3 linked regions of the Styela clava genome follow. The main gene of each other region encodes a partner of the protein of the gene in region 2 in a complex. Links are inferred from orthologs where the notes say so. Each region holds a gene or a part of one and is shown on either strand. Other genes may lie near its edges.

Region 1 (10,838 bases), on a different chromosome or scaffold from region 2:
CACCTAGACTGGTGGGCCATGACAGTGTGACGTAAAAGTTACATTTCATGAAAAATATTTACAGTGTTACAAAAGCAAAAGTGGAAAACACTAAGCCTCAAGACAGAACTAAATTGAATCGCAATCTTAACAAATTCCTTTTGGTATTACATAGGTTATTAACATCAAAATTTGGTTCAAGGTATTTGCGCCTGATGTGGCAGCATCAGGCAGGCCAGATTGAACTACCCAGCAGGCCGGATTTGGCCCGCTCGCTGGTTATATGACATAATTCATCCAAAATCAACAGCTTCTGGTTCGAGATAGGATGACTGCACATGCAAAATTTGGAGCAGATTTAACCTCGCCTTCGTGAGATATCGCATGCATCTAACAGACAGACAGACAAATACCTATCAACATATTTACCGATCTAAAGATCGATAAGTAACAAACAAATACCTAACAACATACTTACCGAACGAGATCGATAAGTAATAAAGAGAGTGTGGCCCCATGCCAAAAAAATTTGTAAATTTGAAAAAAAAAATCTATTTATGCACTCAGTCCTATCGATCCAGAGAGTTATCTCAGCATGAATTACTTTGTTCATAGGTTTCATCCTTGTGCACTGGGGGAGGAATTCAAAACTCAAATTTAAAAAAAAAATTGGTTCTATCGAGATTGGGAGAATTGGTTCTTTGCTGCTATCGAAATTTCTTTTCTGATTATGTCAGCCTCAGATTAGTCACTTTTCCTGCTATGGAAATGTATTGAAATAAGGGTAAGACTCCATGCCATTCTAAAGATGGTGGATTTTTACATGTCAATGACAGTGCTTTTTTCGAAGTGAAAGGTAAGAAAACGTTATAAAAGAACTGAATAGACTTGTATCATTCTCCACAGCATAATTTTGACAAATGTCGAGCCCGAAAGATTTCATCGTTACAAAAATAGTAGTTATATGTCAGTAGCTACTGCCTACACAAAACTGTGTTCAGAATGGTAAATGTCCTATAAAAAAGTAAACATACTTTTAGCTTTCTTTTCTGCATATTGCTTGAGTCTTTCCTCTTTGATTCTCTTTTGTTCGGCTAATTCTTCTTCGTCGTCGGAGCCGAAGAAATCAATATCATCATCACCATCGTCGCTGTCGTCATCAGCAGCGGCTAGGATTGAAAAAAAATTATTTCTCAAATTTTGAAAGTTTAAAATCTCGAGATTATTCCAAAGTGGAGGCGTAGTTCTTACTACTTCATGGCAGCTCCTGCCACGAACGCCCCGCAGCGTCTCTTGCCATGGTTTCATGGCACTATTAGCGGTATATTAACAAAATCATGTACAATATTTTAATTATATTTACTTAAACCTCAACCTAACCCCAAATACATCAAAACTGTATTCATACGAAAAAGCGTTCCAACTTACCCAATATTTATCACCATCAGGGGCAGCCCTGCTATTACAGCCGACATGCCATGGTTACGGCAGCAAAAGTGGTGGTATTCGATTTACTGCCGTAGCCACGGGAGCTCACTATTTTATTTCTCAAATTTTTGAGTTTAAAATCTCGAGGTTACTACAAAGTGGGCAAGGCATTCAAAATGTTATGATCGGAAAAAAGTATTTTTCAAATTATAAAGTGGTTTTATAATACGAAATATTAAATCACTACTACTTGGGGTACATGAGCTGGTTTTTGAGCACATAAACGTTAGTATGTATGTATGTTTATTTGCCTCAAAAATATAACAGTATCTGCATAATAATTGAACGATATACAGAGACGGGATACATGTTCAAGACCTTACTGGCCTAAGACACGGATGCGCAATATGCAATACAATACAAAGAGGTACGCCACAACGATATGTACAATAACGTTTCAACCGAATAGATGATTTTATGTTAAGTTCTGAACATGGACAAATTTAAAGTCATTTTTTAGGATATGTATGAAGTATGCATAATATGAAAGCACTTTTATGTAAAAATAATAAGATAATAATATTCAAACCTGCAGCCTGAGCACCTCCATATTCAGCAATTGGTTTCTTCACTCCAGGAAGGCTGAAAGTAAAAGTGACTGTTTTTTACCTTATCAAGATGAATCAACATAAATAGGATCTAATCCAATTGAGATAACTCGCCGTGCGAGCCGCTAGTTTACAAGTTATCAATCCATTCACATCATTTTGATGCATCAACAAACATTGCCACCACACTATGTAAGGGCGAGTGCAGGATTCCAACTACTTACACTGCCGCTGGATGTATGTAGACCGCACAATACAAAATTTTATTTGATTCTCAGACTTGGGAGGGTATAACACTACACCAACCCTATGTTGCTGTGCACTCAGTCCTATCGATCCAAATTATTATCTCAGCATGAAAAGCTTTGTAAATAGGTTTCATCACTGTGCACTGGGGAGTGAGGTGTGATCTGACAGAATCACCAGTCTTTCAATCATAATACCATTATCCCGACCAGATGCGCTTCGATTTTCAGTGGGGTCCAAATTGCCCTAAGGTGTCTGCAGCAGGATAATCATAGTTAGGCACACTTTACAAACGAAGCTACGGTCTCAACTTACAAGAAACTTCGGGTTGAAAATACTTAACTATTGACCATCAAATTTAATTAACAAAACTTTTGGCATATGTAAGACTTCTTTAATAAAATGCTGAGAACGATAGTAAAACCAATGTTTTATGGATTATAGTAGAAAGTTTTGACTGTTTTACCAACCTTCCAAATTGTGATTTGTATGAGAGAACATGATTGTACCAACGTAACGCATGAACATGCTTGGCATTGGGTGGGCCGGATATACTTTCAAATATGGCAACATCTCCTTGTGATGGAACATACCTAAAATTTAAAACAAATATCTTATTTTACTGTGTGAACATGTTGGTAAAAAACTAAAGGGTCTCGTGAAGTAAGCGTAACTGCTTGAATATCCGCAAACACAAATGCGGTGAGTACTTCGATAACGCCAAACATAAATGTGATGTGAAAATAGAACCCAGATTTTCAATTTTTTATAGAAATGAAAGTCCGTCTTGCGCAAATTTCACATCACATTTTAGTTGGGCGTTATTTAAGCAGTTACGGTATGGTATCTACTTCACTCGATCCAAACTAAATGGCAATACCGGTAATGTAATACCACCTTGCAAAATTTAATTACAATTCAACTGCCAGAAAATAAAAAGATAGCTGCAGCCCCAGCAGTTTTTAAATTAGGTCAAGACAGGTTTCCAGATGTATCAAACCCATGAGGCCTTTACTTCCTCATACACTAATTACAAATCATAAAACGCAGGAAAAAGTTTTAAATGAATGTCCAATAACTGAATAAAGTTCAAAAAATCTCAATACAGCAATACCGTAAAAGCGCCTAACTTCGGACAGTTCCTAACTTCGGACAAAATTTTTGAACGGCCATATCTTGGCTAAAACGCGCCGTATATTGGTAATTTTAATTATTATAGGTTGCGCTGTTATATCTACATCTATTCTCATCTTTTTTAATGTTGCATTTTTATTTTTTTGGTGAAAAAACGGAAATTTTGCCGAAAATTGACTGCCCGCCATTCAACGGCGCAGAGCGTCGCTCCTACTGAAGCTATCCTCGTCAAAATACCATCATTCGGTAGAGGGCGACAACAATGTATATAATTCATTTGAGTGATCGCAAGATGTCGTACGAGATTTAAATAAAACCTAAAATTCTGAATTATAAATTCCGTAAGAATATTAAGATTTCACGCAGCGTCAAAAATTACGTCAAACTCACGTAGATTATTTTTCGCTCACTTCCGACACGACGTCACACTGCGTCGCGGAAATGAATTTTGACGCCAGACACAACGGAGCCAATATGACAATTTCCGTTAAGATAAAGACGGCGTTCCAATGTAATATTTTTGTATTTTGTTCGGTCATGTATGAATATATGCCAAAATTACATTAATGAAAATACATGTCACACTTAATCGATGACGTTAAAAATCGAATATATAAAACTATGGAAATTCCAACGTCCATATGGCACAGTGCACTGACTCGACCATTATTTTATGATTAGTAGTCGAAATGACAGTTATTGAGGCCTGGGTGAATTTTATTCACTCGAAATTAAAAATAAATTTAATCTCCAACAAATAAACGGGACCTACATGTTTACAAGATTAAGTTGAATTTTAAATTAAACTTCACAATCGGATTTTCCGTGTGTTTGATATAAATTATCATTTATAAAGATAACCGCGCAGAATAAAAATATTAATACTTCAAAGACTTCGATAGAAGCCCGTTAAAATACTTCATTGTGGATTGAAACGGTTTGCATCAGATATATTTACGTATGCATTTCCTGATTAAAATGACTAACGTGTTATTATACTCATCTGAAGTATCGAAAATGACGAACGAAAGATGTAAACATAGGACGACGGAAGTTTCAAATAATGCATTTTCGTCGTGACGTCAATGTTACGTTACGACGACGATCGAGCGTCTTATCTTCACGCAACGACGTGATTACGTCATCCGCATCGGAAGCCTCTTTCTCTCTGTGCGTCGCGGTTACGCAGTGAAGAAAATGACTGTCCGAAGTTAGGGCAGTGAAGGATAACGGTCAGATGGCAAGAAATATCGATTATTTCAATAGTAAAAATAGTCCAATTGAACCGAAATTTGCAGGGAATGTAAATTACCGCACGAATTTGCAACGTTTGGACAATAAATGGCCGAGTTATTGACGAAAATATAGTAATTTTGTCCGAAGTTAGGCGCTTTTACGGTATGGGAAGATAACTATTTTTTAGGAAATGTTGATATTTTTTATATAGAAATCCGTATTCATTGTAATCCCTACAGTATTTGCAAGCATGAATCCCAAAATATGTTTAACTGTTCGCGTATGACGTCACTGCCCTGCCCACCTTTTTTATGCCCATTTACACGAGATAATTTACAAAAAAATCAAGCTCACCCTTCGATATAGCTTTTATCTTCGAGATAGGTATTTAGTGCAGATAATCCACAGTCACTCTTCAAATTTCCGAAACCCATTTTAAAGAAATTACGGCGATTAAACAAAAGAAGAGAACGAAATCCAAACCAAACGCGTGGCAAAATTTGGGAAAAGGGTTCTTCAGTGAACACGGTTCATTGCTTTGCCGATAAACCGTGGTTTCGTGCCACGAAACAGATTTTGGGCCGAATTTATCCAGAAAATCAATGACATTAAACAACATGATGCGCAACTCCGGCATTTTTGTCCGAAGATCGTATTCGATAGCACGCTCCAATGCACATACTTGACGAGACGAAAACGAGCGGATGTGTGCTGCTTTCAAGGCGTAGCACGAATGGTGTTCGTGCCTGCTTTGACAGTTGTTGTCGATTTTAATGATATTTTGGAAAGTTAAGGTAAAAAGAAATCGGAAAAAGGTAAGGTAAATACTATTGTTGTATATCACACCCGGGCATCGCACTGTTAAGTACATGTGGGAAAGTCAGCCTTTGTCAAATACTACGAAGTTATACATGCAGTACGGTACGTGGTTGCCCATTTGCCGAAATTACATATTTACTTACCCCTTATGGTTTCAAATAGTTCATGCACCTCCAGTTAGATTTTTTTAATCAGTGAGGATATATACTCATTGTTGATTGCTGCTCATTGTAACATACTATTGCGCATTCACTTTTATTTGCGTATTGAATCAAAGTGTTAACAAGTCCACCTAACATTTCACTCATACCGGTCTATATTGTATAGTCTGATCTCTCAAATATTTGGAGCCACGAATGCTTGTAATTTTCTGACTAAACCCTTTTATTAGTTTGTTTTATTGACCAAATTCAGTAAAATATTTTTTACATAAAACATGAGATATTGGATTCATTAGCTTTTCCATTCTAAATCATATAGACTGCTTTATTTATTCTTAACGAAAATTAATAAATCTCCTCTCTTTCTTCAGATGTGAAAGTTGTGGACAAACCTGTCTAAGCATTGTGAGACTCCTGCAGCACAAGAGGCAATAGCAGAAATAGTAAGTATATCAATCAAGAAATTAAGCCGACATAAAGCAAAACTTTCAATTATTCGTCTAATCACAATTTCCTATTATTTATTCACAGAACAACTATAGCAGAAGGGGAGATATCAGAAGTCTGGCGACATATCAGTGACATGCAAAGACATTTGACCCTCCGGTAGAGTTGTGTATGACCCCTACATCCTGATTCCTGCAGGGCTTGAGGAAAATAACTAAAAATTGCAAAGCGTAAAATTACATACTCGGTCTTATTTGTAAAGAGGCACAAAACACGCCAGACATACTTGAAACAGCTTTGGAAAATGAGGATTACGGGTAACTCACTGCACCTGTGTTATATTTGGTTCATCACCTTTTGGTAGTACTATAGAAGAAATTCCGGAAGGGGTATAATCATCATTCATGATAAAATACTATCATATATATTTTTGGACAACTTCAATCTAGACCAGAGATCTCAAACTCGCGGCCCCAGAGAACTTCGAGTGCGGCCCTCGAACGCTTAACAATAATTGTAATAGTATTTTTATTTTTTTTTTATCTAAATGTAATAGATTTTTCAAACCTTTTAAAGTGAAATTGATTATTCACACAGAAAACAATTTACTGAAAGTAGTTTTGGAATATGAATTTTTTTTGTCCACATTTTGACCCAATTAAGAATACACATCAAGCTTGCAAAAGAATACTTGAATAAACACTTGAGTGATTAAATTAAACGCAAAGTACATGAAGAAGGTGGCATTTTCGAAGAAAATGGGAGTTGTAACTTTTCTGCTTTTCGCAAAATTGTCATATTTCTATCAATACAATGAAAAAACACAATAAGCTCAGCAGTCAATATGACAAATTCGAAGACCCACTTCGAACAGAAAATTTCCATGTGTTTGTATATTAATATATTTATACAACGACTTAGTTACTAAAAATCAATATCAATAATAATTCAAGCAATCCTATGCCACGCAATGTGGTGCGAAATGTCTTGTCGAAAAAATCTGTCATTTGTTTTTTTACTGATCTACAGTATACATGAAATGATAAAAGTACTTTTTTTGCATTACTGGAATTGATTAAACATTCGCAAAGATCCAGATTAACCCATGATCATGTGGCCTCGTTAGTTAGAGTTGGTACTATAAAATCATTTCAGCCTGGCCTTAGTATGCTGGTGACACAAAAAAGATGCCAAACGTCAGGACAAATGTAATTATTAAAACATTGAGTTTATACTGTAGTATTTTTGTTAATTTTAGGTTCATATATTTAGATTAAGTTATTTTTAGTGTATGTATTATTCTTTCCTTATTTAAAGCTTGTTCAAAAATGATTTTGATGGTTGTACATAGAATTTTATGATTTTTCATAATAACTACAGTAACTTGCAAATGTTGCAATAATAGTGGAATGCAAATATTAATATGTAATTGCATTTGAAATTGAAGAAAATAATAAAACTTAATCCAACTGTTTAGTTGCATCACAATATATGTCACAAACTAAAACTATCTTAAAAATATCTTTTAAGTATACATTATCAAAAACTGTTTGCGGCTCTTTTTACAATTTCCAAAATGCAATGCGGCTCTCGAAAACCCATAAGTTTGACACCACTGATCTATTCTAGACGATTCAAGCATTGCTTTGGGAAATAATATCACTTCAATTAAATTGAAATAATCTCGCTATATTAAATACAAAATCGTTGCTATCATAAAGGTAAACCAATTTAGCCACTCGAAATATATTGGCCTTCACAAAACAATGGAGGCAAAATTGAGAGTTCATGAGCTATGAACATTTGTTCTTTTCTTTGTCTTGAACTTTTCATACTCCACAGCCCCTATTAATTTTTTTTAATTTTAATTACCATGTGATGGTCATACATATCTTTAACTTGTATTTTCTGTCATGATGTATTATCTCAATGTGCCAAACTATTAATTAGTGTGCATATTTTGCTTCCAGATGACATAAATGTATTGTCTTGTTTATTACCTCAACTTGGAGTATTGACAAGAAAAGGTACCAGTAAATTAGATAAAAAAAATTTTAACTCTTTGTTATAATCAGAATTCACAATCAATAGGAATTATAAACAGCCAACCATCAATGAGAATGATATGTGAAATCCCTCATAATAAATTTGTCTAAAATCGGAGGAAGGCAAATAATATAGGTAGTTTCCATCCACACAAGCATTTCAAGAAGACTTGCTCGAGCCAAACTAAATGAGCATCGTCAGGTGGTCGGTAAGGCTGCAAGTTGAATTCAGCCCTGCAACCTACCGCATAGAAAATAATATTAATTAGTGGGCTATGAGCTAAATTCCTAAATTTAAACAAACCTATCTACGATGCATTATGTACCAGCAATGTTACCTACGATTAACTGAATATGTAATATGTCTAATAAATTCACCTACAAAAGCAAGTTCGATAGGTGCAAACTTTGTGTTATGGAATTGTATCACAGCACAATTTTGTATGACACCCTCCTAAAAAGAAACTTCAATGATTAAGCGCAAACATTAAAATTACTAACTTTGAACTTTGTCATTATCTGCAAAATGTTCCACACAAATCTTTCCGCTATCGCGTTTGTAATCTTCTCTGATAAAAAAAAAACGTCTATGATGTCCAGAATTGCTCTTTACAGCTTGCCTGCCATTCCAGCTTTCCAAGTGAGCAAAACTTCTTAGATATAGAGATTATTTTGTTTCGTTACAGACGCAAAAAGACAGGTACTACACGTAAAAAAGACGCCGAGTAGCAAAAGCGAGCGGAAAACGGACGCGAAAGTCGACGAGAAATATGTGCATTGGAGCGTATCATGAAATACAATGTTTCGCCTGTAGTCTTATGGAGTGACGTCAGAGTTGCCTATCATGTTGTTTAACCCTTTCCATGCGATTTTTATTTTTAATTAAATAATCGTATTTGCTACGCCGATTTTACGCATTTGTACCCCCACAACTAATCGATCGACTAACGAAAAACTAATGATCCTCTGCTGCCCACTGACGGCTCGTTGGAAATCTTATTCAAAGAGCTTGCAATTGGCGATTGAAAAAAAAAGTTTTTTTAAAAGTGGTGGTCTGAGTCACAACCCGGATAGAAAAAAGGCATTTTTTTTTCCTTGGGAGTTGAAACTTCAAACCGTGATAAAAAATAGAAATATTCGCTAAATCCTTTACTGTTACCGTTTCGTGGTTGGCAAACAATAGCATAATATTGCTGTACCAATTTCGTGATCTAACTCAAAATACTTTGGTAGATGGAATGGATAATATGTCTTCTATTACCACCCAAAAAACATCGAAATTTGCATAAATTTCAAAAACACTCCCTCGTTCCGCCGCAAATAAAATTCCCGTCGTAAACGAGAGCGAGATTTACCGTCGCTTATGTTAATCTCGAAGAAGACTTCTTATCAATAAACTAAAACCCGGAAAAACTAGACCAACAGTTTGCGACCGATTGCTAAAGAAAACAGTGGAGTACATCAACGTACCCGCCGCAATCTAGCGACTTTTGTCGTTGGTACGTATACGTGCCCACCGCACGGAAAGGGTTAATGTCATTGAGAAAATGAAGTGTATATGTACAAAGCGATTATTAATGAAAATTGCAGCAGCAATATTATAGATTAGTTTACTCTATAAATTTAAATATATAAGATGGTTATGCGTTATCAGTATGTAACCGTAAATTTGGAAAACCATCACTGCTTACATCCCCACCACCACTGTCGAATTGGAGATGGCATAGCCTACTAAACAATAAAACTAGAATGCAACAGAATAATTTCTTGTTTACAAAAGTCCATCACGCTTTGAATTTGAACTGCATGTATTTTTATCTACATAGTTTTGCAAATATTGCCTGTCAGTTCACAATGGAGCAATCCAGGTCTTCGTCATTCCTTCACTGTAACAATCCGGCATGTCATAGACCGTATTGTATCTGATAATCTCGATAAGGTTATTCGTTACCAAGTGTGATTGTTGTGATTGTAATAAAATTTAATTAATTCAATATATTTAGATGGAAAATTAACTTGGTAATTGTTTACATATACAAAATTTTACTTTCTATAGAATGGAGAAAATGCGTCCGGTTACAGCACTTAGACTGCTTGCGGTCAACAATAGTGTTACGGTCGCAAACGAATAAGAAACCGAAATTGTGATTATTTAAATGTTTCTTTTCTTCATAACGCTAATTAGATCAATATTGCCACAATATATAATTCTAACAGTAAAATCATGTTTCGTTTGGGGTTTACCTGAATTCCCTTTACTTTTTAGCTGTTGATTTCGATATTTTTTGTTCTTGGCGCGGCGGTGTGGCTCAACGGGCTAAGCGTTAGGGATACGCTCGCCACCGCACCTCTAATTACTCTGCGTGGGTTCGCAGGTTCGAATCCCATGCAGGGATGGTTATGTGCGAGAGGATTGCTGGACTCCTCGCCGTCGTTGGGTGGTTCACGTAACCGCTGGTCGGTTACGGCTTCCTCCACCACCAAGTCCATGCTTCCGAAAACAAACAATACAGTAAAAATAATCCCATACCCGACTTGGAATGGTAAGCGGACGAGAGGCCGTGGTTCGCCATATGGATAAGCCGTCTTATTGGCTTTCCTCTCCCTCGGGATAAATATGTAAATCCTATCCCATCCTACTGCATTAATGTTCCTTCACTCGATTAAGATTATTAAAAAAAATTAAAAGCGATGGATGACCAATGAGACGACACCGTATATACACAATATTTACA
Region 2 (10,140 bases):
ATGATATTTTCAATTTCAATTCACTGATTATGTCTAAAAAAACATATAGTGGGAATACAAAAAAAAACACTGGTGAAATTTCCAATTTGCCATTGTGGAAAACTTTTCACTGACGTCACTTAGAATCATAAAGGGCCATGCTAATAACCATAGTTAAAATGATTGTTTTTAATATGTGATCTTCAGTTATACCAATAATACTAAACCAATACATTTTATATACAACTTATAGCCCATATATAAGTTTGCGGTGTCAATAGACTATCATGCAATAACCAATTGACCTACCTATTGACGTTTCCAAAAGGCTTGCGAAAAGCAGGATCCAGAACAGTTTCATACAGCATGCACAGAGTGCAAGCAAGACTTATATCTGCCTGAGTAACACGCTCACCAACAAGAAATGTCCGTGTGGCAAGGAAACCATTCAATGCAGTGAGTGCAGATTTGATATCAGATTTAGCCTTCTCAGTATTCTAAAATTAAAAAAACTATCTTTACAGAATTTCTGTCTATTACATTGCTATGCAATTTTATATGTGGTGATCGATCAATATTCGAATATCTGGAACCACATGACCTGCGCTACTTTGCTTGGACACGGAACTCGCGCCTCTCCAAATCGATCGTGAATCGCGTGAGAATTCACATTCAGCGCTCGCTAACAGACAAAGGCGACAAATTTGAGAAATCGTTGTCGTTGCGCTATGGTGTGATTTGCTTTCTTTTTGCGCCCAACGTATCGTTTCAATTCCCCATTTTGCATAAACACGTATCGCACCAGACATAAAAGTGATTATAGAAAATTAAAAGTTGAAATTACCTTTTCGAGAAACAATTCATGGTATGACGCTTATAAGCTATAACCAGGAAAGAAATGACAAGCCAAACTTCATTTAATGTATTTTCTATGAGCTCTTTAGTGAACCCTTCCATCGATGAGCAAGTAATTTTTCAAAAAGATGAACATTTTACCAGGTCATGCATGTCCGGTTGAGTGATAAAATCGTGAACGAGTCTAGATCGTAAAATCAATCATGAATTTCGATGTTACAACGCACACTCTCTCGTTTGCGAATTGTTGCGCCTATCATCATCGGAAATGAATACATTCGTTATATTCGAACATTTTTGCACTAAAAAATTAGGACGTGACAGTCACGTGACATTGTCAAAATCTTTAAGTGAAATGGTGAATTTGCAAATTTCGTAACTAAAATTGTGAATTACTCTGAAACGATTTTAGCTATAATGGTTGCCGGGATATTGTTTTGTTAAAAAAAAAAGGTTGAAACTTGAAAAAATTAGTTATAAGAGGTGTCTTGACCAATTTTTCGGCACAAAAGCACTCGAGCGCAAAATGTTTTTAGCATTGGGTCGCATATGTACAATAAAATATTATTCAAGAAGTGCTGTTTATTAACGTCATCTTGTTTTATGACCACCTGGAAAATGCCTTTATTGTCAATTTATTTAATCACATTTCGAATCAACATTCAGGATTGATGCAATCGCTTTGCGAGGTTAATCTTTCTAATACGAAAATAACACAGGCACCATGGAAAAGCATAAGAAAGTTAATTATCGTCATAATAAAAATCTGCATCTCGGTATCGATAATATTACCGCACGCTTAAAATTCGGACGGTAAATTTACAAAAGTTGATAAATAATGAAGACCAAAACCAACGCAACCTGTATAAATAAATCCTCGCAAAAAACAGAGAACGGGCGGGATCCAACTTCAGGATATCGCCGTAAAAACCGGCCAATGAAAAAATATTCGTTATTCGTTAAAAATATTCAAATCATTCGATTCGAAAATTTTTTCGATTTTGCCCACCCCTACTTAAAACCATCTGTAAAGAGCAATTTTTCTGTGAATTTCAGACCAAAATTATTTGAAAGTCATCAAAAGAAAACTGAACTACCCAAATAAAAACTTTGTATATCTCATCAAATAATTTGATACCGAATGTCATAATATGACCCATCCCATACTTCCTGTTTATTTAAGAATAGAATAGGGCATCAGTAACAAGTCTTCAACTCTAGCAATCATTTGAAAAAATCAACACACCCTATTTGTTACTGTGTCTTGATTTTATAAATGGAAAAATGAAAAACAGTGATAACTAAAATATTCTCACATCCCATTTAAGCATAAATTATTTTGTGGTGTAACACTATACAACTCTTATTATTACCTGTTTGTTAAACTGAAGAATTCCTTTGGTCGGATATACCCACGTGCAGGCTGCAGGGAGAATAACATTGTCAGCTAAGCCTATCCATTGTAGTACCTAGAATAAGTCGATTATTTGAGTTCTTGAATAGTGAAGGCTGGGGAATGGTATATTGTTCCCAGCATTGGGAAATGTCTGCCGCTGAACCTCTGATTACCCTGCATGGGTTTGCAGGTTCGAACCCAGTGCAATTAAACAAATAACTGACAAACTAATGATGGCTCGGCAGTGTGGCACATCATGCTAAACTTTAGAAATACGCCCGCCATCGCACCTAGGATTACTTTGCGTGGGTTTGCAGGTTCGAATCCTATGCACGCAAGGACGGTTATTTACAAGAGGATTGCTGGACTCCTCGCCGCCGTAGGGTGGTTGATGAAACCATTGGTCAATTACGGCTTCTTTGATAATGCCGTCTTATCAACTTTCCTATCCCCAGGATATGTAAATCCTATCCTGATACCATATCAAACATGGTCTGGTTACCGAAGACAGGCCAAGGCAAGTCATGTGATTATGCCATCCTATTGACTTTCCTCTCCCCAAGGGTGAATATGAAAATCCTATCATAAGCAAATAACCTTCATCCTCTTAGTAACATTTGATTACTGTATGACAGATAGATGTATAAATAATGATTAAAATAAGGTTGAAAATATGTTCCTGAATACGAAATTAAGAAAACAAATTTTGAAATCCAATTCATTTAAATTGTTGAAAAATATGTTTACTTCAATCCATAAGTAACATAGCCGTTGTTGCAGAAAAGAACTAAACGTGCATGCATGGCAATGGATATAGTAATATTGCAGAATTTTCCAATATTAAAATTGTAGCTTGATTTTGAATCTATATAAAAAATTAGGATGCCAAAATTTCTTACTTCTGCCTCTCTGTCTCCACCTCGGGTTTGTTCGTTTCCAACATAATGAGCAATTCCGTTTGGTTCAAATAGCTTCACATCACCACATTCAAATGCTGGAACCTGTTAAGATATCAGTGCATGCTTTTCAAAGGGTTTAAGTTAAGAATGATGAAAAGTGTTGCGGAGGATGAAAAAATTACTATAATTATTGAGACTTAAGAAAGTTTGAATGGAATTAGTTTTCGCTTGAACTGCATTTAATGACAATATTAAATATTTATAATAATTTAGAAATGTCGGAATGTAGGTTATTAAGTATGAAGAAAGTTTGAATGGAATTAAGTTAGTTTTTGCTTGAATTGAATTTGGTGACAATATTAAATCTTTCTAATAATAAAGTAATGTACCGTAATAAATATGTTTAGGGTCTGGTATAGTTTCGTGCCTCAATTACCGGTACTTCTGATGGGCGTAGAAAACACTTTTTGCATATGTCAATACTAACCCCCACCTGACTGCGTCATGCAAAAATTACGTCACAGTGACGTAATAAGGCCCTTCAAACTATACGAACTGTCATCCAAGACGCGCGCCTAAAATTGAGCTATGTATTTCTGGGTCTCGTGTAGTTTCGTACCTAACGTATTTCTCATAGGCGTAGCATAACAATTTTTTGACATTGCAATCCTAACCCTCACCTGACTACGCCATCCAAAAATTATGTCTCTACGACGTCGCAATCACGTCATAGAGCTTGTCAAATACTCGTATGATCGCCCGAAATGGCATCGGCGCCGACGATAAAGAACTGACTAACGTCAGCGATCTCTCTCCTATCGGGATCGTTGCGACGAGAAAATGAGAAAAATGGCTATTCGATTTCGGGTTCTCGTCTGCGCGTCTTGGATGAGAGTTGGCATAATTCGAAAGGCTCTATTACGTCACTGTGACATAATTTTTGGATGGTGTGGTCAGGTGGGGGTTAGGATTGACACGTGAAAAAATTGTTATGCTACGCATACTAGAAGTACCTTAGGTAGGAAACTACACGAGACCCGTACGGTACCGTATTTCTCTCGTCAAACAGTCAGTCGAAATGATCCCAATACAGCAATATCAGAATATGGGAAAGATCGATAGACCCGCTAAGTTAGCTAGACAATGACAAAAAAACAATTAAAGGATCTTCACCGTCCTACCTTCCCAAACGGAAACTTCTTGAGAAATTCCGCCGATTTATCTGTTTCTCCAGCAACAAAGTTTGGATAGACATTAACTGTCTTCCCGCTATATTGAGCAGCAATCAGGATCTTGTGTGCCCGGAAACTGTCGGGAAATGTATATAGTGTGCCTGACATCGTAAAATAAACTATCCAGAAGTTCTGTACCCAACCAAATTTCGAGATTTTAACCAAAATCGCGAGAGCCGTCAGCGTGCAAAAGTCGGACGTCCACCATGGACAAAAAAGGAGTAAAATGACACGCGGTTTTGTATACGTCATTTTATTCTCCGAATGTCACTACCTGACAAACACTTAGATATACTAGGTATTTTAATTTTATTTTGGAATGTAATTACCTGATATTATTTTACTATTTACTTATTATTAAACACGAACTGAACCTATAGATCGTTTTGTTATTAATAATATTATGTTGTTGTTAGTATTCTGAGTTTTTTTGTTGTTGTTGTTGCTGTGAAAAAATCATTTGTCTTTTCAACTACTGATTCGATTTCTTGAAAATTTTTAATGATCTAAGATTGTTGTTGTTACTAGGAGGCCATTCTGTTATTTGTTCCTATTTATTTATTTTCTATGAATCTTATGAGAGCTTATATTTCGTTCAAAAGTTTATTTATGGGAACACTGTTTTTATTCGTCCAAGCGTGACGACGCAGGAGTTGAATTTGTTTATTGAGGTGTAAGTTGTAAAAGTTATAGGATACGATTTTCGGAGGAAGTGTGTGTAGAATATTTTGTTTTGGCTTTCTTTCGGTGGGTAAGGTTTTTGAACCAGGGGTCAAAAATTTTGCCCACCTAGTCTGGCGGGCAATGTAAGTGTGATGTAAAAAGTTACATTTTATGAACATTATTTATAGTGTTACAAAGCAAAGGTGAAAAACATTAAGCCTCCTAATAAGACTGAATTTAATCGCAATTTCAACAAATTCCTTGAGTTATTTTAGCTAAAACATCAAAATTTGTTTTTAGTTTGGTTGTCACAGCATCATGCGGGCCAGATTGAATTAACCAACGGACTGGAGTTGGCTCGTGGGCCGTACTTGGCCCATGTCTGGTCCAGACCTTTAGTTATCACGTAAAATTATCTTGCTTAGTTTGATTCTATATAAATTTTGAAAATCCTGAGCGTGTATTTTTTTACATATCCGATGAAATTAGAAGCATTCCCGTTTGAAATTGCGTTTATCACTGAAATGAAAGCCCATTTTTTTACATTAATTTGTGACTTAACGTGTAACTGAAAAACAAGGTGGGTCACTTGTTACCCGCTGGTCAATCGCTCGCCATTACCATATATATATATATAGTCTTAATTGAAAAATACCGTACTCCTAATCTACTATTATTCTGAAGTGGACGGCAAAGTTTATGTAGTACTTGACCAAATATGCACATTGACGGTAGTGTTGCGCGTTGCGCCTAATAAATGCTGCCTTAAACTCCGTGTTACATACATCCGTGCTTAGATATTAATAAATTGATGAGCAATTTTTATTTTATGCATTTAAAATGAGGTCGTTCGGGGGTCCAAGAATCGTTCATGAGCTCAGTTTGCCGTCCACTGCTCTACTAGAGTCAAGGCAATCTTCTCAGCTCGGAGCGCAGGGTATTACATTCGGTACGTGAACTGTAATTCTTGCGCTAACCGGAACTGGAGAATACAAATTCATACTCGCGAGTCCAATATACCGGTATGTAGGCCACCGTTGCATGATTATTTATTTAAAGGTTCAGTACAAATAAAGCAAATAAATTCAAGCGTTTAATACATTCACCACATAATTATTCGTGTCGTGAGATCTTGATTTAATATTGAATTGCATTTATTAGTTGATAAGACTTAGCATCCAGTTCAGCCAAGTTCGATTATCGCCTTGCAGAAGACTTCGTTTTACGATAGGACGACGTGGTCTGGAAGGTCTTCTCCAGTCTCGTCTCGACGAAGCTACAATATTGATAAACATTTGCCAAATTCTTCGTTCAATTCAAGCAGAACTTGAATCAATTGATAATTATAGTTATCTAATATACCACTAAAAGTTTATATTCCATACGTCCGGATGCTTATGCCACAAAACTTGATTTGGAAAATTCTGTAGACGACACGTATTTTGATGAATTCCATCATTTGTCATTTTATTACGCCTTTTATTTTCTAATAATATACAATGTTCCAGTTAGAACCAAAGCTAAAGTTCATGGACTGGACAACACGCATTTTAATGAGTCACATGTGGTTCAATCCAGTATTGTTGCGTGACTTAATATAACCCATTAAGATGACATACCTTTATTGCATGTAAATTTTGGCGTTGTCCACTCTCCATTTGTGCAATAAACCAATGTGCGTCCCCGTGGTTCATGACCACGTAAGCATACATACACAACAAGTATTTGTTCTCTGTTGAGTCGCCTTTGTATAGTTGTGCGAGCGTTTTCTACGGACGGTGGATTTTGACAACCAGCTGTAAACATGTATATATAACGTGTTATGCTTTCATGACTAGTAGGGCGATGTGATCAAATTTTCCTTTGACATATTCAGAAGTGATGCTTCGGCCCAGAGAACGTTTCTTTCTGTCCTTCTTGCTCTTTTCGTTATTTTCAGTAAATCTCTAAATTTTACAATAAATTCATAAAATATTTGGAACTTACCGTGGCATGCGAATTCAGGACTTTCCCACTCTCCGTCCTGCCCACATTTTATTCTTGGTATTCCACTCAGTTCGAAACCGTTTTTGCATCTGTAGTAAACATATTGTCCAAAGCGTATCTGTCTTCTAGTGGACACAAATGATGTTAATACGGCGTTTTTAACAATGGTTGGTGCTGGGCATGTTCCTAAACACAATACAAATATAAAACATTAGTTAATCGCATTAACGAACCTAAGTATATAAATGGCTTTTTACCTGCACAAACAAGGCGAGGTTTAGACCAAGTCAAATCATATTCGCATCGTGAAAAGGCATGTCCTCTTGCTCGGTAGCCCGGCTTGCACGCATATTTGACAACATCGCCAATAAAATATCTCTCTTGTAATAAAGGAACTTCCGCATTTTTCACCGGAGGAGGCATTGGACACGAAACTTGAAAGAAAGAATAAAAACAATATAATAATTTATTTTAATCTAGAATGATCGAAAGACTTGGATGGATATCATTAAGATTTCTTGCTATGGTATAAATTAATGTAGTTTCATCAATCTTTAATATTTGGTAAAAAGGAGACAAAAGAGAAAACATATCATGTGGGACATCTGAAAATATAAAAAGTCATCTCAAGTAAAATTTTCTTTAGTTTTTGATAGTTTTTTTCTTCTTTTCGTTCATACTATGTCCATTTCTAGTTGCTATACTTAAAAAATTTGGACTTCTTCATTTTTCCATAGATATGTCTGCTCTTAATTTTGAGTAAGGTCTTATTCGCAATAATATTCATAATTCAAGTTTAATTTTATCTTTCCATCGCGACGAATTTTGGATTATAATATTTGTTCACGAGGAATCCAAAATTGGTGGGCATATTTTATTGCATTCGTATTATAAGAAAATATAAATAAATATAGTTGTTCGTTTTAGTAACATTGTAAACCTTTTTAATTAAATACATTGCTATATGTGGATATAAGTAGAGGAAGCTCACCAATACAAGTAAACTGTGGTTCTGAAAACTGTCCATTTTCTTGACAAACAACATGATTAGTTCCATACACTCGATACCCGTCTGTGCACTGATATTGGACAAACTGTCCAACTCCATATGATCTTACTGGATCAATCACAGAGGCATGATCAATTTTGGGTAATTCTTTGCAGCCGACTAAAGATTGTCAAGAAATTCACACTGGATTATTTATTTTATAGATAGTATTATTTAAAGGTATAAAAAGTTTTGTTAAATAGCATTAAAGACTCTGAGTTTATTGCCAACAAGTATCTCCAAAACTTACGTACAACGTTTCATGAAAAAATGATGAATGTATAAAGTAGAGAGGTATGTTTTCGATAAATACTTACGATTATGTACTTATACGGAAACGTGGAGAAATGTGAATTAGTTGTTTAAATTCGAAGGACATTCGAAGCTGGCCTTCCCTGTTGTATGCTGTGGGGCCAAGTCGAACATATATCCGACAGTTTGGTATACCAAACAATGTCATTTAATGGTTTATTTATACTAATGGAACTTTTGTTTCTTATTACCTGGAGCCATTTTGCAGGTAAATTTGATCCCATAATGACATGGAACGTCATTCCATTGTCCGCTTCTAAAATACAGCATGACGACACAGTGTTCTAAATCCTGTAACAAGCTGTTCGGTTGTCCTGGTCGCCAATGTTTGTAGGTCTACATGAAAATGAGTGGGCGCGTTGGATACAGTCAGCCAGGAGGTAGTTTATTTTCCCGCAAACCAAAAGTACACATTGGACAAACGTAATTGAGAAAGATAAAAAAATGTATTGAAGGGAAACGCGATAAACCAGAGATGGTTATCGAGCAGCGTCACCTTTGAGGCAGTGAGTCTAACATTTAATCATACTGAGAAAGAAGTCAAACATAAAATACTAACAGAAGCAGCACTTTGAGACACATTCAAGCTACCCGATATCCCGGTGTCACTCTAGTTAATAGAAGAAAACGACTCCAGACACGCCAGGCCGCAGTACAGCCTTCCTTCACATAATGAATTGGCGTTTTAATTAATTTGGGCAAGTACTTTCTACGGCCACGTAATTTAAGGGCCTATGGCATGAGAGTGAAACTCTCATATGGCATTGAGGAAAGCCTTGAATCAGAAGAGAAATATTGGTTTATAAATAAATATAAATGAAGTTTCCTCTATTATAACTATACTAGTATAGACTGCCCACGAATCAACTTCTGGAGTCTGTTGGATTCTTGAATGATTCACCACAATACCCATTGTGACATAGTTGTCCATCGTCCAATTTACAATATAGTGAAGACGTAAAAACCAGTATTGATTGATTCATTGACAGTTTTATTGCATTTATTATTCGTCTTTCTATTTTTGATTTTAAAATATTATTCATTTTAGAAAACCTGTCATCAATGTCAGTGATAATTATTCTCACAAACCCCATTTGGAAACTCACGATTGGGCTTTTATCAGACCATACAAATTTTGCTTCTTCGTCCAAGTCATTGAACCCAATCCATTGATAATCCAAAGCCAACCCTAAAAGACAAACGTATGAAGACACAATTAAGCTATTCAGTCGCGATGAACTACCTGTGTATCACTATATAATATAACGGAATACCATGATAGTAGTAGTTTGGGGTAATAATTAAGAGAAATCGTGAGAAAACGCAGATCTGGTGGTAGTGGTTGTTCGAAAAGAAACACTAAAGGAAAAAGCATCGAACGTAGTTATTTTTACGAATTTGATAGCAATTCTGTTCTCTTGTGAATCATATTTCATAAATGTATGTACATTTCAACCTCCAACTTTTAACTATACTTCAATAAATAAAAATTAAAACAACAACAATAATTAAGTATATGAACATGGAGGTTGTGCATCATCGGTAGGGCCGATAGCCTGCTGAAAAGATTGGTGAACAAGCAGCGTGCCATGTGGTGGTATAATATGCGCAAAACAAGCTAACGTTCGAGTGAAAATTCAAACCCCATAGCACTTGAAGAAAATTTAGAATGAAATGAATGTAATAGCCTTCAAGCGACTTCTTCCATAATTATATTCTGAAATAATTTTGAAATCCATTGGTGTAGTAGTTGTAAGAAAGCGATTTTTT
Region 3 (10,788 bases), on a different chromosome or scaffold from region 2:
GGCTTTGTGTCGCAATAGTAAAACTGTCGGGTTTGCCGAGAACTTTACCTACCACGTTTGCCGTTTTGTTCGCAAGTAACCTGGACGCCGTGAGGGGATCGGGATCTTCATGAGTGCGGGATTGCAGAAATTTAGATAAAATAGAACAGTTGTGTTTGGAGAAGCGATCCAAGTCTTTTGTGTCAGGTGTTATCAATTACCCAGTGAGTTGAAGTCGAGTCATAATAACTTGAAACAAGGTTTTCAACGTCACCGAAGAATGCTGCTGGAAATCATCACTCATCGGATAAGGTGATTAGTCATAACGATTTTTAATATTAGGGCTACTATATTATATTCATAAGTGATTCAAGAGTCTTGCTGCACACTAACACAATTTTATTTACTATGTATGTCTGAAGGAGTCTGATCTTGGTCAGACGAAACGTTACAGAAATATAATTGTGTTAGTGTGCAGCAAGACTCTTGAATCACTTAGGACTGTAGGATAGTTATCTTTACTCTTGCTACAGCATCCTTATGCATACGGATCCGCCGACACAAAAGCATAGAAGAAGGATAAGTAGTTAGTCCTGCAGAAACCAAATCATTAGCATATATTTTTGTTTTTGAGATTGTTCACTTATTCCTGATTATCAAAAGACTACTGATACTGTTATGCTTTTACTGGTCGTAGTTCTGATCTGACCATCAAAATATTGCTACGACTGGGTTTGCGTTTGTAAGAGTGTGTAATTCAGAAGGATTTCTAAATCCAGATGACAATACAAACGAAGATTGTGAAAATTCAATGAATTCAAATTTTTCTCGAAACAGAAGGAGATACGAGAAGCGAGTGGTTGACGCCACTTTATATAGGTTTGTATAGCTTTGTATAAATAAAAATATCTAATACACCGCTTCATATTAGATTAGAATATTTTATCTTCGGAAAACAGTTTTAAAGAATTGCATTGCTAGCAATTTTGTTTTGTGATTTGGCACATATCCCTGTGTTATTTTACCATCCTCATCTAGTTATTTACTGGGCTGTATTTTTTGTTCACATGTAAGTGACTCTCCAACGAGATGGCCTACGTTTCAGAACTTGGCAGACGGAAATGCGGGTAGTGATTCGGAGAACGCTGTGCCAGGAGGTGATTAAATTAGTTTGCTATGCTTGTTTTTAATTAAACACGGTATCTCAAATTGATACCAATGAATGGTAATAAACCAAATCATAATATCAATTGTAGCCCATCACAAATAGCGCAGCTATCTACGAATAATTGTAGTGCACCGTTTAAAAACACTGTTTGGTGCTCCCGAAGTATGCGAACCAAGATGGCGGACATCGGAACGTAACATGGGTAACAGGTTAGGGTTAGGCGATAATTTTTTTCCAGTTTTCCTTATTTTAGTCCTATTATCAGTTCGAAGACTAGCCAAGAGCCTCCCGTAGTATTTATACCTAGAATTATGGCCTAACCCTAACCTAGTACACATATTACATTGCGATGTCCGCCATCTTGGTTCGCATACTTCGGGAGCCCCCACTGTTTTATTTGAGTAATAATGCAATTCCCCATTTCAAACACTTCGTTTGTTCGGTCAATCAAGAGTACCGTAATTCTGAATTGGACTAGAACACTGTGATGATGTTTTGTGACTTATGCATGTATTTTTGACCAAAGTTTCAGATTAGTCAACAGACTATACCGCACCATCTTCAGAATCACTTTCAATAAGCAATGTAAGTGACTTAAAAGAAACTCATATATACGGAAAAGAAAAGGGCTGTAAATCAATTCCAAAAAAAGCTTCTAAATAAACGTGAACCAGAAAAGAAACGACGAAAAGAAAAATAATTGCACGGCTTTGTATATCTTGCTAGAAGTTTATTGTAAAGCTTCAAGACATCTCTGTATAATTCATAAAGATGAACCGGCAGTGAGCACATAATTTTGTCTCTCCTCAACAACTTAATCTAGTGGGCATATCCACATTCGTATACATACTTGGCATACATTTTTACTATTTAATTATAAATTCAAAATAACAATCATGTTTTTGTATTCCGAGTTGGTGCAAAAATTTTAAATAAATTGTGCAAAGATTCAAAATTGATATCGGGGTTGAATAATTTCATGTTGATCGCTTGTATAGTTGACTGTATAATCACTGCTATACTTAGGCGCGCCTTGATAGGTAGACATTTGAGTTATAATTGGTGTAATGTTTCTCATTTTAGTTGACATGGCAAAATTTCATTTCGCATTTATAGGCCCCACTGAAAACGCCACTTAATTGAACATTTGAGATATGTTGTGTGTAATGGTTCTCGATATTTTTTTTAGAGAATTTCGTGTTTTAATTACATACCTTCTGAAATGGTCGGATGGTTGAAATTTTTTTTGAATGCTTCCTAATATTATTGTCATTCCAAAATATCATTTTGCATTTACATGACACACTTACGTAGCTGAGTAGATGACGATTTGCGATATATTTTCTGTATTGTTCCTCAATATGGTTTCAAAATTTTGTTTTATAATATTTGTCACTCTCAAGTTATCGGATAGGTGAACATTTGAGATAAATTTTGAGCAATTTTCCACAACATCAAAATATAATTAGTATTCGAAATTTCGTATTTTAGTTATATTTCACACACTAAAGTTGACATTTGAGATATATTTTGTGTAAGATTTCTCAATATGATTTCAGGAATTGGTTTCAATAGTTGTATGCTACACTTAGGTAGTCGGGTATTCGGACATTTGAGATATATATTTTGTGTAATGTTCTTCAATATCATTTCAGAATTTTCATTGTGATTGTTTTATGCCACACTTAGGTGGCCGGATAGGTGAACATTTGAGATATACTTTGTGTAATGTTTCTCAATATGATTTCAGAATTTTCATTTCAATTCTTGTATGCCACACTTAGGTGGCCGGATAGGTGGACATTTGAGATATACTTTGTGTAATGTTTCTCAATATGATTTAAGAATTTTCATTTCAATTCTTGTATGCCACACTTAGGTGGCCGGATAGGTGGACATTTGATTTATACTTCGCATAATGTTTCTCATTACGATTTCGGAATTTTCATTTTAATGTTTTATGCCACTCTTAGGTGGCCGGATAGGTGGACATTTGAGATATACTTTATGTAATGTTTCTCAATATGATTTCAGAATTTTCATTTTATTGTTTTATGCCACACTTAGGTGGTCGGATAGGTGGACATTTGAGATATACTTCGTGTAATGTTTCTCAATATGATTCCAGAATTTTCATTCCAATTCTTGTATGCCACACTTAGGTGGCCGGATAGGTGGACATTCAAAATATATTTTGTGTAATATTTCTCAATATGATTTCAGAATTTTCATTTTAATGCTTTATGCCACACTTAGGTGGACATTTAAGATATACTTTGTGTAATATTTCTTTATATGATTTCAGAGTTTTCATTTTAATGCTTTATGCCACACTTAGGTGGTCGGATAGGTGGACATTTGAGATATACTTTGTGTGATATTTCTCAATATGATTTCAAAATTTTCATTTTAATTCTTGTACGCCACATTTAGGTGGCCGGATAGGTGGACATTTGAAATATATTTTGTGTAATATTTCTCAATATGATTTCAGAATGTTCATTTTAATGCTTTATGCCACACAGGTGGACATTTGAGATATACTTTGTGTAATGTTTCTCAATATTATTTCACAATTTTCATTTTAATGCTTTATGCCACACTTAGGTGGCCGGATAGGTGGACATTTGAGATATACTTTGTGTGATATTTCTCGATAGGATTTCAAAATTTTCATTTCAATTCTTGTATGCCACGCTTAGGTGGCCGGATAGGTGGACATTTGAGATATACTTTGTGTGATATTTCTCAATATGATTTAAGAGATTTCATTTCAATTCTTGTATGCCACACTTAGGTGGCCGGATAGGTGGACATTTGAGATATACTTTTTGTAATATTTCTCAATATGATTTCAGAATTTTTATTTTAATTGTTATATGCCACACTTAAATGCCGGATAAGTGGACATTTGAGATATATTTCGTGTAATGTTTCTCAATAGGGCTGGTGTTCATTTTTCAATTACGTGCCACATTTGAGTGACCGAATAGATGAACATTTGAAATCGAATTTGTGTGATTTTTGTCTTCATTAATGACATACCAGAATTCCCATTTACAATTATTTGGATAACTTAAAAGGCCGGATAGGTGGACATTTGAGATAAAGTTTGTGACACTCACAACATAGCATCTGTTTAATCTATATGTTACACCATAGGGTTGGAATATGCGAACATTTGTGATATGCTCTGTGTATTTCTCAGTTTCAAATATATATTACGTTTGAATCAATTTGTTTCGATTTGTCTACCTTCACGTTGCATTTTGAGTATTTTTTGACATGGAAGATTATTTCTAACACCAAACACAGTGCCTCTCCCTTGCACAAAATACTGAACATTGAAAAAAAATGCTATTTTCTGTGATAAATAATGCTAAATGGTTCGCATCCATCGGAAATTAAAGCGAGGTCATACGCTTTAAAATGCGTAATAAAATAAAAGCAGCATCATTTATGTAGACATCCAGGGCGACATATAAGAGGGGTCCGGCTTAGTGCCGAAATAGGCTAAAACATTTGGTGGTCTGAATTAAGTGGACGAATTAAGCGGACAAAAATTTTATATCTGTTATCGAGAGGATTGTGTTGACTCTTTTTCTCTGTAGTTGTCAACGGCTCTCGCGCTCTCCAAGTACGTATTTAAAAACAATGATACAGACACAGGAACGACGTCCGCTTAAGTACTGCAATTATGGCAGGTCCGTTTAACTACCGTAATAGAGTTATATATATATATATATATCGCCACACCCATCGGGTATTTAACACAAGTACGTGGATTTTAAAGAAATTGCAATCAAGTTGATTTAAGCGTTGGGAACACTCTCGTCGTCGCACTTCTGATTGTTCTGTATGGACTCACAGATTTGAATACCACGGGGGATCATTATGTACGAGAGAATCGCCTTACTCAATATCGTCGAACATTGGCTAATGTATCCTCTGAAAAGTACGCTTTCCGTACAATCAAGTCTATGAGACTGAAACGAATGAAAGGTTTAATATGGCATAATACGACGCTTAGTCGCGCCTTTTGCCACGAAAAGCTCAGGAACGAGCAGCCATTGATACCTAACGTCATCTTAAAGAATCTCGCCACGGATTTATTTCTCTGTCGAAGTTATCCAAGCTATATGGGCGCTCATTTACAGGCTACGCCTATGGAAACTACTCCCAAGCCGGCTATTGACTGGTAACCGGACGAGAGGGCATTATTCGTAATATTGTTGAGTCGTATTATTGGCATTCCCCTTTCATTTTATAAATATGAAATTCATATTCTATAATGAGTCCTAATATGGTATAAGAGAGAATATAACACACTGGGCATTTCTTTTAAGTGACACCTTCCACTAACATCTATTACAAATGATACGACGATAAATAACCCTCAGTATGAGGAAATTTTGCATAATTTGGGTAGGTTATGCAGAGCATAAAATATTCTGTTCCTTCCAAATAGTGTATACTTCCAATTTCAAGTATCTGGAACGCTAAACTAGAGAAGTAAATATACCTATAAGCTCGAGATAAAATTATATATAGGTGGATAGAGTTACAGAGACTGGAAATTTCAGTTGTTTTGTTCACCGGATATTGCAGTAATGGTGCTCTGAGCACATCCGGTAACATGCTTCATTTCACGTGTTCATGACCTTTCACCTTCTGATTTTCGTCAGTTTCCACGATTTTGGTTTCTGTTCCATCCTTCAACTTTTCTTAATTTCGTGGATCAGATTTGATTTTATTGTCTATAAAATGCCTTCAACCGTCCCCATTTCACATTTGCTGTCGGATGTTTGGTTTGACCGACCAAAGGTTGAAGAAGAAGAATACAAATATGAAGTGTACATGGCGAAACAACGGGTAAAACCAGCAGCAAAAGCTGACAAACGGGTGATGGTGATAGTATTTTAATAGCGGTGGTGGTAGCTTACTATGGTTTTGTAGTTGTTTTTGAAATATGGACGTTTTCATGTACTTGATAAAATAATCGAAATGAAACTGTGTTAGCCTATAACCTAACTTTAAATCTCATTCAAAATTATCAAGTCTGTACTGCTCTTAAGTCAAATCTCTCTGGTGAATTAAGCCTGATTTATTTTTTTCAATATCTGAGGCGAATTAAGCATAATTTTAATATTTAGTCTATTATTTGAATAAATGATAGCCTAGTCAAAGCATCATCCATATCTGATTTAATTCGAAAAACAAAGCAAAAAATAGCATTACTAGTAATTTTAATAAATCACCCTGATCAACCATGCTCTGATAATCACACAATTGTCTGAACCCTACTAAATTTACTCATACCCAGCATCCTGAGCCCCAACCAACATCCTCGACCTGTTGTCTGAGTTCTCATCTCAGTAATGCAAGGTCATAAAAATATTACTGTATTACCCTGTAAAAGTCGCCACTTACAGACTTACGTGTTAATAATTTATGAAATAATTTATTTCAAAGTAATTCAGATTTTACAAATATTACCGGTACTTGTCTCATAATACTGTAATATTTATGCATGAATTGTGCAAATTTGAAAATCTTTTCATTCTGTGGTATCATTATAGACCTAATAATTAACTTTTAATTATATGAAATTCTAGGGTGCTTGTGGTTCAGGTGTCGCAGAACAAATTGCTCAAGCCAGACAAAAAATACATCAAACACTACAGGGATCTGATACTGTATGTTGCAGTTTTTTTTAGATTACCATATTATAGTAGTTATGTCTGATACTTTTTTATATTTATTAAATTTGTTTATCAAAACTAGGACCCTTTATTCCAACTTTCATATAAATCTATATTTTAGGGAGTTAGTGGCAATGACTCTGGGAAAGTCGATGCAATACGAAGTGAAAATGATGATTTGAGGAAGTTGGTGAACACCCTCGTTGAGAGAATGAATGCGATGGAAGCACGACTGAGCAAACTAGAGTCTGGCAGTAAAGAAACTGCCGTGCAGGTTGTTAATTGTATGAGTTGGTCCATTGCAAATTGCTGAACATCAATTTACCTTCTTTTATGTTTGTTTAATGCAAGTATAGCCTTCTAAAACCGAAATTGAGCAAAAATCAGAATCTGACGATGATGTTGACGACATGGATTTCTTCGCATCTGACTCTGAGGAAGACGATGAATATGAAAAAATAAAACAAAAAAGATTGGCGGAATATGCTGAAAAAAAATCTAAAAAGCCAGCTGTGATAGCAAAGTCTAGCATTCTACTCGATGTCAAACCTGTAAGTTTCACTTATTATTTAGGTTTTTCTAATGAGAATTTCACCTACTCCAGCATCCAGAACGTACTGGAAGGACCATGTGTTGTCTGGCATAATGAATTGTATGTTGCTTGACATTTAGTGTTATTGGGTGGTTTGTTAATATTATACTTTTTTAGGTGTTATATATTATCATGGAATTATATTGAACAGTGTTGAGTGTTTATAGCTTTTATGTTTAGGTTACATAAATGTATTTTGTACTTGTTTATATGTCACTGGACCATTTGTGCAATCAATTAGATCTTGTGTTGCTCATTTTACTAGCAATACAGGCCTATATATTTTGGCAACTAGGGAATTTAAGTGTGATCACTTTCCAAGACTAATGATGTTAGGGTCAACCCCATGTGTGGCTTGTATTTAGAGCAGCAGTTCTCAAACTTTTGAAGCCGTGCCCCCTTTTTAGAATTTGTCAAGTCTCGTGCTCCACCTTGAAAATGTGTCCCCTTTTAGGAATTTGTGAAGTCTCGTGCTCCACCTCGAAAATAACTACAGTAGCTAACAATCAGCTACAAATAAATAACTGATGATAAGGCGCGTTGGCGCAAAAAAACGTTGAAAATACGTGGATTTAACGTAAATAATGAAAAAAATTGTCCACGCGCCCACAGTTTGAGATCAACTGATTCATAGCCTTGTTTGCAGCAGAAGTGTAAATACAACAAATTATAAAAAGAACGTAGAGCTTGTTTCTACTTTTGTGATTGTGATATTGGTCTCCTTTTAATTAGGAATTCTTACCTTCATTATTAACAGTGGGATGATCAAACAGACATGGGGGAAGTGGAGAGACTTGTGAGGAATATCTCAACAGATGGATTGAAGTGGGCAGCATCGAAATTAGTAGAGGTTGTATAAGATTTTTGCTATGTAGTTGAATTGCTCCCTGCAAGCTAGATACATTGAAGTAGAGGCCCAATTGATGTGTTACCTTATTAGTTATAACGACGATTCAATTTAATGTTTGTGGAACTATAAAAGCAATATTGTATAATATGAATATAACAGTACTCTGTAACCAACTGATGATTGCCATTACGATATGCCTAAAGTAGTTGTTATAAGTATTCTTTTGATTGGTAAATTTCCATCTGGATGACATAACAATATTGAGACTGTATGCATTGTTTGTTGCAAGCACAATCATATCGGTAAATGCAGCCTAGTTCAGCTCATTTGAAACATCATAATGGTACAGAATATACTATTTCGCAGGTTGCGTTTGGAATCAAGAAACTTCAAATCAATTGCATTGTTGAAGATGATAAAGTTGGAACAGACTTCCTTGAGGAGGAAATTACTCGTCATGAGGACCATGTGAGTTTGTTATTGCGAAATTCAATTTTGAGCAGGGTGGTGAGTGGTGGAAGTCTTGGGTAACCTCAAAAGATGTTATTGTCATCACACAGTCGTTTACCAAAAATTAGGATTTTGAACAGTTATATTTTAGTATTATATATCATGTTTTCTGGCAAACCAATCGAACAAAAAACTTCTCAGCAAGTATTACTGGTATTTAAATTAAGTGATATTGGTCTTAAAATGTTTGTCTATACAATTTGAAAACCAAATTTTTGTCTGTAAATTTGCTTTAATTCCTGATATTTTTCATAAAAACCGTTTAATGTATGATTTTTATTACGTTACGCAGGCAACCTATCATGTAATTCTATAAAAAAATGTATAAGCGTGGATTTTTGACACTCATTTTTCATATGTTCTCCCTTTTTCATACTCTCTACTTTTGCAGGTTCAAAGTGTGGATATTGTTGCGTTCAATAAGATTTGAAGATCATATTTAATTAAATCCAATTCTTGCAAATAAAATTTAGACTATTGAAAATTTGTCATCTTTATAACATAGGAGAGACTCTGAAATTGTGCTGCTGCTGTGTTTACTATTTCTTAGAACCAGTTCTGATTCTAACAGGTTGAGTGCGCACAAATTTATTATGATTTATTAGGTTTCATAGAAATCGTGGGTTTTTCATAGCAACCAATGATTTTTATACAATGAGCCATCATCACATTCCGGATCTATCAATCTCTGGGTAATCCCATGATGAATGTTGGGACGAGCAGGCACACAATCTCCTGATGTTTGGGACCTATAGCCAATTTATATACCAGGGGATCGATCACCCTATTGATACCAGACATAGCATGTGCATTATAGCTGGGATCAAGAAATGTGATATCGGCTGCTTCAGAACAATAGTAGTTCCTGAATAAATAGTGTATGTACGTACATCAGTTTAAAATGACGTTCTGCTTAGCTGACCTTAGTTAAAACTAAAGCTCTACATGGAGGTCTCTTATGCCACAAGTACATCTGACAAACAGCCAAAAATGCTTACAAAATTCTCTTCTGCCATGTATTTTTAAGGGGGATCGTGACCGTCGTTGAAAAAATCCCAAGATCTGCTATAAAAACTCAGAAAGTACAACAGTGATAATACATATAAAGTAGATCGAAAACATATATTCATCCCCACAAAACGGCTTCTGAAACAGTCATCGCGATTACGCCACCTGCAGTTGCTTCGGCAAAATAAACACATTACTACTCGACAATCCGCGACTTGACTGTGCCACTGTATAAAACTAGGTGTTATTCTCTCAGGATAATTATGTTAGCGATAATTGCAAAACTCCATGCTGATGAAAGGCCTGTTGTGACACTCTTCATTATTAAGTCCATGCATCTGAAATGAAAAACTGGTCCAATTACCTGACATGGTCTGGAAAGTGAACCAGATCTCATATTATTCACCTGACCTGCCTAAAGCCTGTCAAAGATATAACTAACACGGCAGTGGTTTTTCGCTTTTATTTGCACTCACATAATATGTGCAATATGAGCAAATCAAGAAACTCTAGGTCTGTTTGCTTGTTGGTTAGCACCCGGCCGGAATCTTGGTGGTGGAGTACGGTCCTTGCGGGCAAGTCTCGATCTGTTCTTTACCAGTCTGCAAAATAGAAGCAATTTAAAACGTATTCAAGCAGCCTTTCAACAGAAACACAGTTTTCATAGCATTGGATTATTGATTGAGCAGTAAATTGTACAACATTTTTGATAGTATGGTAGAAAATGAACTTAATTTGGATACATTCTAAAAACACCATGTTTTCCAAATTGGGTCATGTTAAATATATGGTAGGCATTTGAAGCGTACTATTTGTTGAGGTTCACTGAATTCAGCTCTAATGAATTTACGAAATTTGTGCAGATTTTTCTGTTAATTACCGTACGTCATAGACATTCCATATTTAAGAATAATATTTCGGAAATAGTATATTGCTGAATTTTGGCCATTACTGGTTGATTCACTCTTTACATCCCTGT

What was found.
Region 1: the proteins of elongation factor 1-gamma-like (region 2) and elongation factor 1-beta-like are in contact, whole or in part, in a crystal structure (PDB 5DQS), measured with the Homo sapiens proteins. The link is inferred for Styela clava from reciprocal best matches to the Homo sapiens genes EEF1G and EEF1B2. Residues at the interface, in NP_001395.1 of Homo sapiens: Leu146, Lys147, Thr148, Arg149, Thr150, Phe151, Glu155, Arg156, Pro185, Asn186, Arg189, Leu192, Thr193, Asn196, Gln197, Pro198; in NP_001032752.1 of Homo sapiens: Ala20, Asp21, Lys22, Ser23, Tyr24, Tyr28, Val29, Cys50, His51, Arg54, Asn57, His58, Ser61, Tyr62, Glu65.
Region 3: the proteins of elongation factor 1-gamma-like (region 2) and elongation factor 1-delta-like are in contact, whole or in part, in a crystal structure (PDB 5JPO), measured with the Homo sapiens proteins. The link is inferred for Styela clava from reciprocal best matches to the Homo sapiens genes EEF1G and EEF1D. Residues at the interface, in NP_001395.1 of Homo sapiens: Tyr9, Trp13, Arg14, Phe40, Gly41, Asn44, Gly56, Lys57, Val58, Ser104, Val107, Pro108, Ser111, Thr112, Phe115, Ile120, Met121, His123, Asn130, Glu134; in NP_001123527.1 of Homo sapiens: Ala2, Asn4, Phe5, Leu6, His8, Glu9, Ile11, Trp12, Phe13, Lys15, Phe16.

Annotation. Positions count from the first base shown.
Region 1 is NC_135263.1:4,631,503-4,642,340, forward strand, and holds the start of elongation factor 1-beta-like, read right to left. Parts: upstream 5,145-10,838; 5' UTR 5,066-5,144; coding exon 4,986-5,065; intron 2,855-4,985; coding exon 2,732-2,854; intron 2,050-2,731; coding exon 1,997-2,049; intron 1,149-1,996; coding exon 1,014-1,148; intron 1-1,013. UniProt on the Homo sapiens protein: Catalytic subunit of the guanine nucleotide exchange factor (GEF) (eEF1B subcomplex) of the eukaryotic elongation factor 1 complex (eEF1).
Region 2 is NC_135261.1:11,230,090-11,240,229, reverse strand, and holds the start of elongation factor 1-gamma-like, read right to left. Parts: upstream 4,586-10,140; 5' UTR 4,470-4,585; coding exon 4,311-4,469; intron 3,232-4,310; coding exon 3,130-3,231; intron 2,304-3,129; coding exon 2,208-2,303; intron 477-2,207; coding exon 289-476; intron 1-288. Other genes in the region: uncharacterized protein LOC144430572, read right to left, coding at 6,182-6,300, 6,644-6,820, 7,011-7,196, 7,268-7,444, 8,002-8,178, 8,562-8,706, 9,477-9,559. UniProt on the Homo sapiens protein: Probably plays a role in anchoring the complex to other cellular components.
Region 3 is NC_135255.1:3,747,208-3,757,995, forward strand, and holds elongation factor 1-delta-like, read left to right. Parts: upstream 1-5,814; 5' UTR 5,815-5,911; coding exon 5,912-6,049; intron 6,050-6,762; coding exon 6,763-6,843; intron 6,844-6,970; coding exon 6,971-7,123; intron 7,124-7,205; coding exon 7,206-7,400; intron 7,401-8,198; coding exon 8,199-8,291; intron 8,292-8,657; coding exon 8,658-8,759; intron 8,760-9,192; coding exon 9,193-9,231; 3' UTR 9,232-9,285; downstream 9,286-10,788. Other genes in the region: small ribosomal subunit protein eS26-like, read right to left, coding at 10,309-10,411.